Cricetulus griseus: one gene and its partner. The protein of the gene in region 1 purifies or fractionates together with the protein of each later gene. This does not show direct contact. Links are inferred from orthologs where the notes say so. Each region holds a gene or a part of one and is shown on either strand. Other genes may lie near its edges.

What was found.
Region 2: the proteins of Rint1 (region 1) and Bnip1 purify together in Homo sapiens (co-immunoprecipitation; 3 studies listed by BioGRID and IntAct, counting the BioPlex papers as one, with this or other methods). This does not show direct contact. The link is inferred for Cricetulus griseus from reciprocal best matches to the Homo sapiens genes RINT1 and BNIP1.

What each region holds. Positions count from the first base shown.
Region 1 is NW_023276806.1:170,795,332-170,799,149, forward strand, and holds part of Rint1 (RAD50-interacting protein 1), read right to left. Parts: intron 1,830-3,818; coding exon 1,615-1,829; intron 1,279-1,614; coding exon 1,098-1,278; intron 1,030-1,097; coding exon 911-1,029; intron 1-910. UniProt on the Homo sapiens protein: Involved in regulation of membrane traffic between the Golgi and the endoplasmic reticulum (ER); the function is proposed to depend on its association in the NRZ complex which is believed to play a role in SNARE assembly at the ER.
Region 2 is NC_048600.1:47,019,772-47,024,083, reverse strand, and holds the start of Bnip1 (vesicle transport protein SEC20), read left to right. Parts: upstream 1-1,206; 5' UTR 1,207-1,254; coding exon 1,255-1,338; intron 1,339-3,681; coding exon 3,682-3,774; intron 3,775-4,312. UniProt on the Homo sapiens protein: As part of a SNARE complex may be involved in endoplasmic reticulum membranes fusion and be required for the maintenance of endoplasmic reticulum organization. Also plays a role in apoptosis.

The DNA of each region.
Region 1 (3,818 bases):
AAATTTTACATCAACAAATTTTTTACTAGATGCCTAGTAATTGTTCTCATGTTTATAACTATACTTAGAACTAAACTGGTATTAAATTTATAAAAAAAAAATAATTGTCCTCTGGTTAGTCTACTGTTAGTCCCTAAGCCTAGCTGTGATTTCTTATTTTCTACAGGTGGTAGAATTATACTTGCATCCATTTTCTTTTTACTCTCCCAATAACAAGTAAATAGCACAGAACCAGATGCTAGGAAGCAAGTCCAACATGTAATTTATACCTAGTTCTGCTCAAATTTCTGAGGATGTGGATCACATGCATTATTCTGGTTTCCTTATTGTGTTCTGAAAATAAACTATACAATGAATGTTTAAAGGTTTTAATTAATTTTCATATATTTTTAAATTTTCATTTTATGTGCCTGTTTTGCCTGTATGTGTCTGTGCACCTTGTATGTGCCTGGTGCCCATGGAGGCCAGAAGAGGGTGTCAGATACCCCTGAACTAGAGTTATGGATGGTTGTAAGCCACTATATAAGTGCTGAGAACCAAACCCCAGTCCTCTGCAAGAGCATCAAGTGCTCTTAACTTATGAGCCATCTCTCCAGCTCTGAATTTGAGATTTTGTTTGTTTGTTTGTTTTTGTTTTTTGTTTTTTCAAGACAGGGTTTCTCTGTGGCTTTGGAGGCTGTCCTGGAACTAGCTCTTGTAGACCAGACTGGTCTCGAACTCACAGAGATCCACCTGCCTCTGCCTCCAGAGTGCTGGGATTAAAGATATGCGCCACCAACGCCCGGCCCAGCTCCAGATTTTAACTGATGATATTTTAACAAATATCAATGAAACTCTAAAATTGTTAAAAAGAAGTCAACTCCTCTAACATTTGGATACGCCAATATTTACAGTTAGACATTAGGCTTACTGTTTGAAATAGTTTTCCGGTCTCTTGCAATAGTGAGAAAACAAAGGGAAAAGATTCCGTGTCATATCAAACTGTAACTGGGCTGCTCCTCCTTCATTGAAATGGTTAGCCAGGATTATCTGAAACAAAGAGCAATCCATGTAACGGCTGCCTTCACCAGCACAGCCCCCAGCACCCACTGACTTACCTCCTGATAGATGTACATGTCCAGCTTCTCTACAAGCATTTGCCAGAAAACTCTGAATAAGGAGAAACAAAGCTGCTGCTCCAGCTGAAGCAGACGGTCCCGTAAGGTCAGTAAGAGTGGGCAAGCTGAGCTGGACAGGGACATCACTGCCTGCTCACACTGAGACGGCAGGGACAGCCATCTGGAAAAACAAACAACCTTCACCAAAATGACCTTATCACTCTGTATCCTTAAGGTTTCAACAAATCTTTTTTTCAACTTGTGCACTGAGCTAGTCAACCCTAGATCATATGCCATTTCTCTATGAGATCCACATTATAACTTGTATATTCTGAGTAAATTCTTCAAAATAGATTTTAGAAAGGTTTACATCAAAACCAAAGTTTGAACCTACCATACACAAACCCCAAGTTCAATGCCAAAACTAGGGGTGGGGGTTCTACAAAAGCTAAAATTTAGAGTGTACATAACACCTTTGACTCTAACTTATTTTAAGGGTGACTGATGCAAGACATACCTTTCTTTCTTATACAATTTTGCAGCGTCTTTCACTTCTCTAAAAACATGGTCTACTTGGCGAGTCAACATATCAAGCTTTAAACGCTCTAAGAGGTTTATCATGTCATCAAAGACAGAGCTCTCCATGGAGGCTAGTTGTCCCAGCTGCAACTTACTGAGGGCATTATTCTCTGCAAAGACCTCCAGTGCTGCCTGTTGCAGCTGCAGAAAGAACTGAAAGCAAATATCTGTTAGTACATTTATTAACACAGTGCTAGGCATCCTGAAATAGAATTTCGATATCATAGAATTCCCTCATTTAAGGTGTGCAGTTCAGCATCAGTGAGATGGCTTCATCAGTAAAGTAACTTGCTGCCAAGCCTGATGACCTGAGTTCAAGATGGAAAACAGTGAAAGGAAACAACTGTAGCCTCCACATGTGTGCCATGGTGAGCGAACACACACACACACACACACACACACACACACACACACACACACTACCTACACACCTTGGCACAGTGGCAACACCACACTCCAGAGGCTAACACCAGATTACCATGAGTTCAAAACCAGTGTGGGCAACATGAGTCCCTTTCTCAAAAGCAAAAAAGTATAAAAGCGTTCATCCTCTCCCAAAAATAAAACGTACAGTTCAGGACCAGTAAGATGGCTAGGCGGTTAAAGGCATGTGTCACCAAGTCTGATAACCTCAAGTTTGTTCCCTGGGTCCCACATGGTAGAATGACAGAACCAACCCCAGTAAGTTGGTCTCTGATCTCCAAGTGTGCTGTGAAACACACATGCATGCACAAAATAAATCCTTTTTATTACAATTTGATAGTTTCAGTAATTCAGAGTTGTGTATCCATCACAATTCTACAATACTGTCCTAGCTTCCTGCAACAAAACCCCTCATTCATTACCTGTATTTTCATTTTCTCCACACTCCCTTCAAGTCTAAGCAATCACTAATCTACTCTCTGTCTATGGTTTTGACAATTCTGGACATTTTAAGGAAATGGAACCAAATGAAGTATTATTCTTTATGACCAACTTCTTTCACTTAGTTCTATAGCATGTACTATGTACTTCATCTGTTTTTATTACCCCCAAATACTCCATCATATAAACATATTACATTTTATCCACTCCACTAGCTGCTGGATGTTTGGATTATTTCTATTTTGTATCTCTTATGCTTAATGTTTCTGAAAACAATGGTGTGTGCATTTTTTCTGTGAGAAATGGTGTTCCTGTTTGTCTTTGCCTGTCTGGAGGAGTGGAACTGCTGGATTTTTAATTCCATCTTGCTGTCTAAAGAACTGCCAGGTTGTCTTCCTCAGCAGCTGCAGTAGCTTACATCTTCACCTGCCATATACAGAGGCTTAAAGCTCTCTCCATGCACACTGGTAGCAGTTTTGTGTGGGTTTGTTGTCTGGGTTTTGTTTTGGCTTTGGTGCATGTAAGAGTTTTGTTTGTTTTCTTTTTTGTACTGTTTTAAGATCTTGTTATGTAGCCAGGCGGTGTTGGCCAATGCCTTTAATCCCAGCACTCGGGAGGCAGAGGCAGGCAGATTTCTGTGAGTTCGAGACCAGCCTGGTCTACAAGAGACTGAATCTAGGGCTTCATTTGTACTAAGCAAGAACTCTGCCACTGAGCTAAATCCTAACCTCAAACGTATCATTTTTTTAATTCCCCTATACATACTATATTTTTAAGTGGTATATCTGTCTATTTGGGGTTTTTTGCCTATTTTGTTTTTATGATATATAACAGCTTACGTTTATAATGTGCCTATTTGCTCATCATAGTTTTTACAGTGTAGTGGATATTTCACCATCGCATGGTTATCTAAGATCCTTATGAATGGCTTCTGTCATGAAATGTACTTTATGTACTTATACACAAGTATAAAGCCAAATGCATAGCTGTTATCTCAGTTTTAGAACATCTATGGATGTAGATAAACAGCACCCTGCCCAAGAAGTCAGCCCACAGGCCCTCTGAAATCACTTTAGTACTGGATCTAAAGTATCTAAGAGAAATTAACCAATGTTGAAACTATAAAGGCTTTTGTTGTTGTTTTGTGAGGGAGGATTTCATGTACCCCAGGCTAAACTTGAACTTCCTGTGCAGCTGAGGATAACCTAGAACTTCTGATTTTCCTGCCTCTACCTCCCATGTGCTGGTATCACAGACTTTGCCACATGCCCACTTTAT
Region 2 (4,312 bases), on another chromosome or scaffold:
TCTATTTTTTTTTTTTTTTTTTTTTTTTTTTTGAGTCAGAACCTCAGACTCTAGTCCCGACTAGCCCGGAACTCACTATGTAGACCAGGCTGACATGGAACTCACAGAGATCTGCCTGCCTCTGCCTCTGCCTCTGCCTCTATCTCCTGAGTGCTGGGATAAAGGTGTGTGCCACCACACCAAAAAGGAAAAGAATTATGAAAGCAAGTCTGACAACTTCATTGGTGAACATCTGTAATTCCAGCACTTCAGAGTTTGAGGCAAGAAGACCAAGAGTTCAAGGTTGTTCTTGTCTACATAGACAGTTGGAAACCATCATGGGCTACATGAGACCCTGCCTCTGAAAAGCCAAGATAAAATACATATATCGTTTCACTTACTCCATTTGTTCTGTCCTCCTCTTCTTCTCACTTCCTATAGCCAAACGATTTAATCAAGTGTGACTATGCAATCGAAGCAGGGGATAGAAAATGCATGAACATACATACTCCCAGGATGTTGCTTAGTAATACGTGAATAGCAACTAGTAGTCATTGAGTTCAACAGCACGTTATCAACACTGCTGCATTTCAAGTATTACCTCATTTCACATGGCACAATCAGAACCACTCCTGCTAGATACTTGTAATCCAATTCTACACAAAGAGCAACATCAGAGCCATAAAAATGTGTAAGGAAGGCAATGTAGGTTCTGTGTCTGAGAAAGCCCTAGGATCATGGTTGTACTAATGGAGATGCTCCAGTGACCTGCATTGAGTTATGCACTTTTACAGATTTTTGTATCTTACTCCATAATTCATACTTACTGTAGAAATTGTGTTTTAAGTTTTAAAGAAAAAATGCAACTTTAGTGGCATCCTAATTGATCCTTTTTTGTTCCTGTGCAAAAAGTCATTAGAGTAGCTGGTGCCTGAAAGATGGAAAGTGAGCGGATTTTTGTTGTTGTTTTGCTAGTGCTGGGGTCAGAACCCAGGGCCTTGTGGTGTGTCAGGCAAGCCCATCGCCAAATGAGCTGTGTCTTCCAACCCTAGTGGTTCTTCATAATTACTTTCACTTTTCCGTTTAGTAGGAGCCGACGTGAGAGGCTGTCCGTGTTCCACGTGTCAAGGAAAATCCCAGGTCTGGGCTAGCAACTTGGTTTGCTCCGCACTAGGTCTCCCGGTGCCACATTGAAAGAAATACGGGAGGAAGGCCGGCGTCACGCAAACACGCTCAAGTTTGGCCACCGCTGCTCGCCGTAGCCGCGTCTCCAACATGGCGGCTCCCCAGGACGTCCACGTCCGGATCTGTAACCAGGAGATTGTCAAGTTCGACCTGGAGGTGAAGGCGCTTATCCAGGTACAGATTCTTAGACCCTCGCCGTGCTCTCGTTAGCCGTCTTGGCGTTCTCCGGTACCTTCGCGCACGGCCCAACTTAGCCGGCAGGCGTCCCTGCTCCAGGCCGGTTCCTCCGGCGCCGTTCTGTCGGGTCCCTGGGATCGCTGACCTTCAGCGCTTTTCTTGTGCATACTGTTGGTTCGCCCGCCGCTGGGGCATCCCGACGCCCCTCTCCTGTCCCCTGGCGATACAGCAGAGGTCCGGGGCTAGTCTGCTCACCCGCTGTCTCGGCGGTACCTCCGCCCTGCCACCTCCCGGATCACCTCCCACACCCTCTTCCCTGTGTTAGGGGCCCAAGAGGGTACCCAGGGCCACCTGACACGGGAGTCACTGGCCGAAGCTAACGTAACCTGGACCGTGGCTGTAATTTTTTTTGAATGAAGACATCTAATGGAGTGCAAGTCCTGGGTCAGAAGGCAGGCAGTGCCAATACTAGGACCTGGACGGGGAAAAGCCAGCCTAGGAAAAGCATTTTAGAGCTTCCGACGGGGAAGTGGGGCGCTTATCTGGAAGCAGGTGTAAGTAGGAGACAGTAGTGCAAGCAAGTTAACATAGGCAAGAGTAGAGAATGTGGAAATGGCTCCTCAATTTAGAAAAACAAACGAACAAAAAACAACTGAAGAAACTCATAATACAATCTGTGACAGCAAACGAAGAAAGGATAGGGGCGGGGGTTGGGGAGCACGTGGCTCTGCTGATGAATGCATGCCTATCTTGCACTGGGTTGCATCCCCAGTGCTGCATAAATGGGCGGTGGTTGCTGGGATACATATTCTCGAGCCCCTGTCAAAAAGGGATGAGGAAGTAGTACTCTCTGATAAACCAGATGCACACCTTACCACATCAGTAGTTTATCCTATGCCTCAAGGGGGTATGATTTTAAGAATAAGCTAGAGAATAAGTGAAAAAACTTGATGCAAACCTTAAATGTCTCAAACTTCACTCACTCCTGGGATGTGTAAACAACAAAATGTCTGGCCCAATTCTAGAAAAATAAACAAGAATTGGGTTTATACAAATGAAATTACCAGGGGCTGGGGGTAAATGTAACTCAGTTTAGAGTTAAATTTAGCCATGCTCAAGGCCCTGCTTTCAGTCCTCAGAATGCATCAATAAATACATATACATACATAAAACTAAGCTGCTAGTGTGTTGGTGCTAGCACTTGGAAAGAAGAGGTAAGAAAATCATGCATCTGAGGCCAACCTGGAGTACATAGAGTGACCCTGTCTCAAAAACAAAAAACAGACTACATCCAAAATTTAAAAAAAGAAAAGTTACGTTTTCATATTCCGATCTGCTAGGTCTCTTTTGTGACCCATGGTTTTTGGATTCTTGTGGTTACTATTGAGTAAGCATAACCCCATACATTGCATTCTTATGGTCTTCCAGCCATTCTGCTAAGCATTTTATGTAAAGAAATATGACTTTGAGGTAGGTCAGATGAAGAATTGGAAGTACAGAGAACTTAGGCTTTTCAAGATTGCAAGTTTTCAAAATTTTCAAGTTGTTGTAAACAGGATTTGCATATAGTAGCCCAAGTCTAGAGCCTGCACTAAATCTTGGCTCTAGTGATTCTGAATTTCTTTCCAGAAGCAAATTCTCAGTATCTTTAAACATTATGACTTGCAACAGATAGATGGTTTGTAAAATCAGACTAAGTTACTTTAGAGTTGAAGGATATGAAGTCACAGTATCTCTTAGATGCCCATTTTTTTTTTCCCCAGACAGGATTTCTCTGTGTAATCGTCTTCACTTTGTAGACCAAGGCTGGCCTTGAACTCACAGAGATCCACCTGCCTCTGCCTCCCAAGTGCTGGGATTAAAAACTTGCGCTACCATCGCCTGGCTTTAGATGCCCATTCTTGATGAACATGTAAGCTGCTCAAGCCTTTCATATTGGCTGGATAGTGCTTTGTAAAAGTCAAGGTTGAGTTTATCTAGCTACTTATTTATCTACACACATATAATAATACATATCGTGTGTGTGTGTGTGTGTGTGTGTGTGTGTGTGTGTGTGTGTGTGTGTGTGTGTGATGCTGGTGATGAAACCCAGGACCTCAAGCACATGCAAGTGCTTTACACTGAACTGTACATCCCGGCTACTTTTATGTATTCTGCTCAGTGTTAATCTTAAGGGGGATGAGGAAACTGAAAATGATGTTTTTGCTTTTGTGCGAAGGAGAACAGCAGTGAGCAGGATGAGGTGAAACTAGGCCAACCTTAGTTGTGGGCTAAATCAGCTTTCCTTCTGTATATGTCATTGACTGGAGAAAGGCCCCTCATCTCTTCCTTGTCTTACAGGATATTCGAGATTGTTCTGGACCCTTAAGTGAGCTCACTGAACTGAACACTAAGGTGAAAGAAAAGTTTCAACAGTTACGATGCAGGATACAGGTAGGTGAGGCTCCAAACCTTTGTTACCTAAGGGTAGGTAGCCAGGGTGGGAGCTCTGGCCTAGAGTTTGAGAGTTGACCAGGTTCTTCACATACTACCTGGAGAGAGTAGTAAACATTGTTACACTGAGGGTAAATGGACTAACAAAGAATGGAACCTGTGCACTCATTCCCTGCTTGAGTCTGTCACCAACATGTCCTGGGTGTTTTACATGCTATCATTTTTCGAAGTAACCCCCCCTTATGGTTTCTGGAGTCACAGTTTACATCATATCACACCTGACTTTCACTACAATGCAACTGCTGTCTCAAAACATAAGAGAGTGAGAGGGAACTGTGTGAGTAGCAGAACCATCCACTGCTGTGCCCTCAGGGACGGATGCTACGAATCTGCCCATCACTGGGTGGGGCTAGAACCACCTGGTTTTGCTGCATGTAGTAAATGACATTGTTCCAAAACTATCCTTCAACTCTTCCATTGCTTAGCAGGAAAATATTGCTTCCTGTGTGTTATGTTTGTGTGTGTTGTATGCCCACAG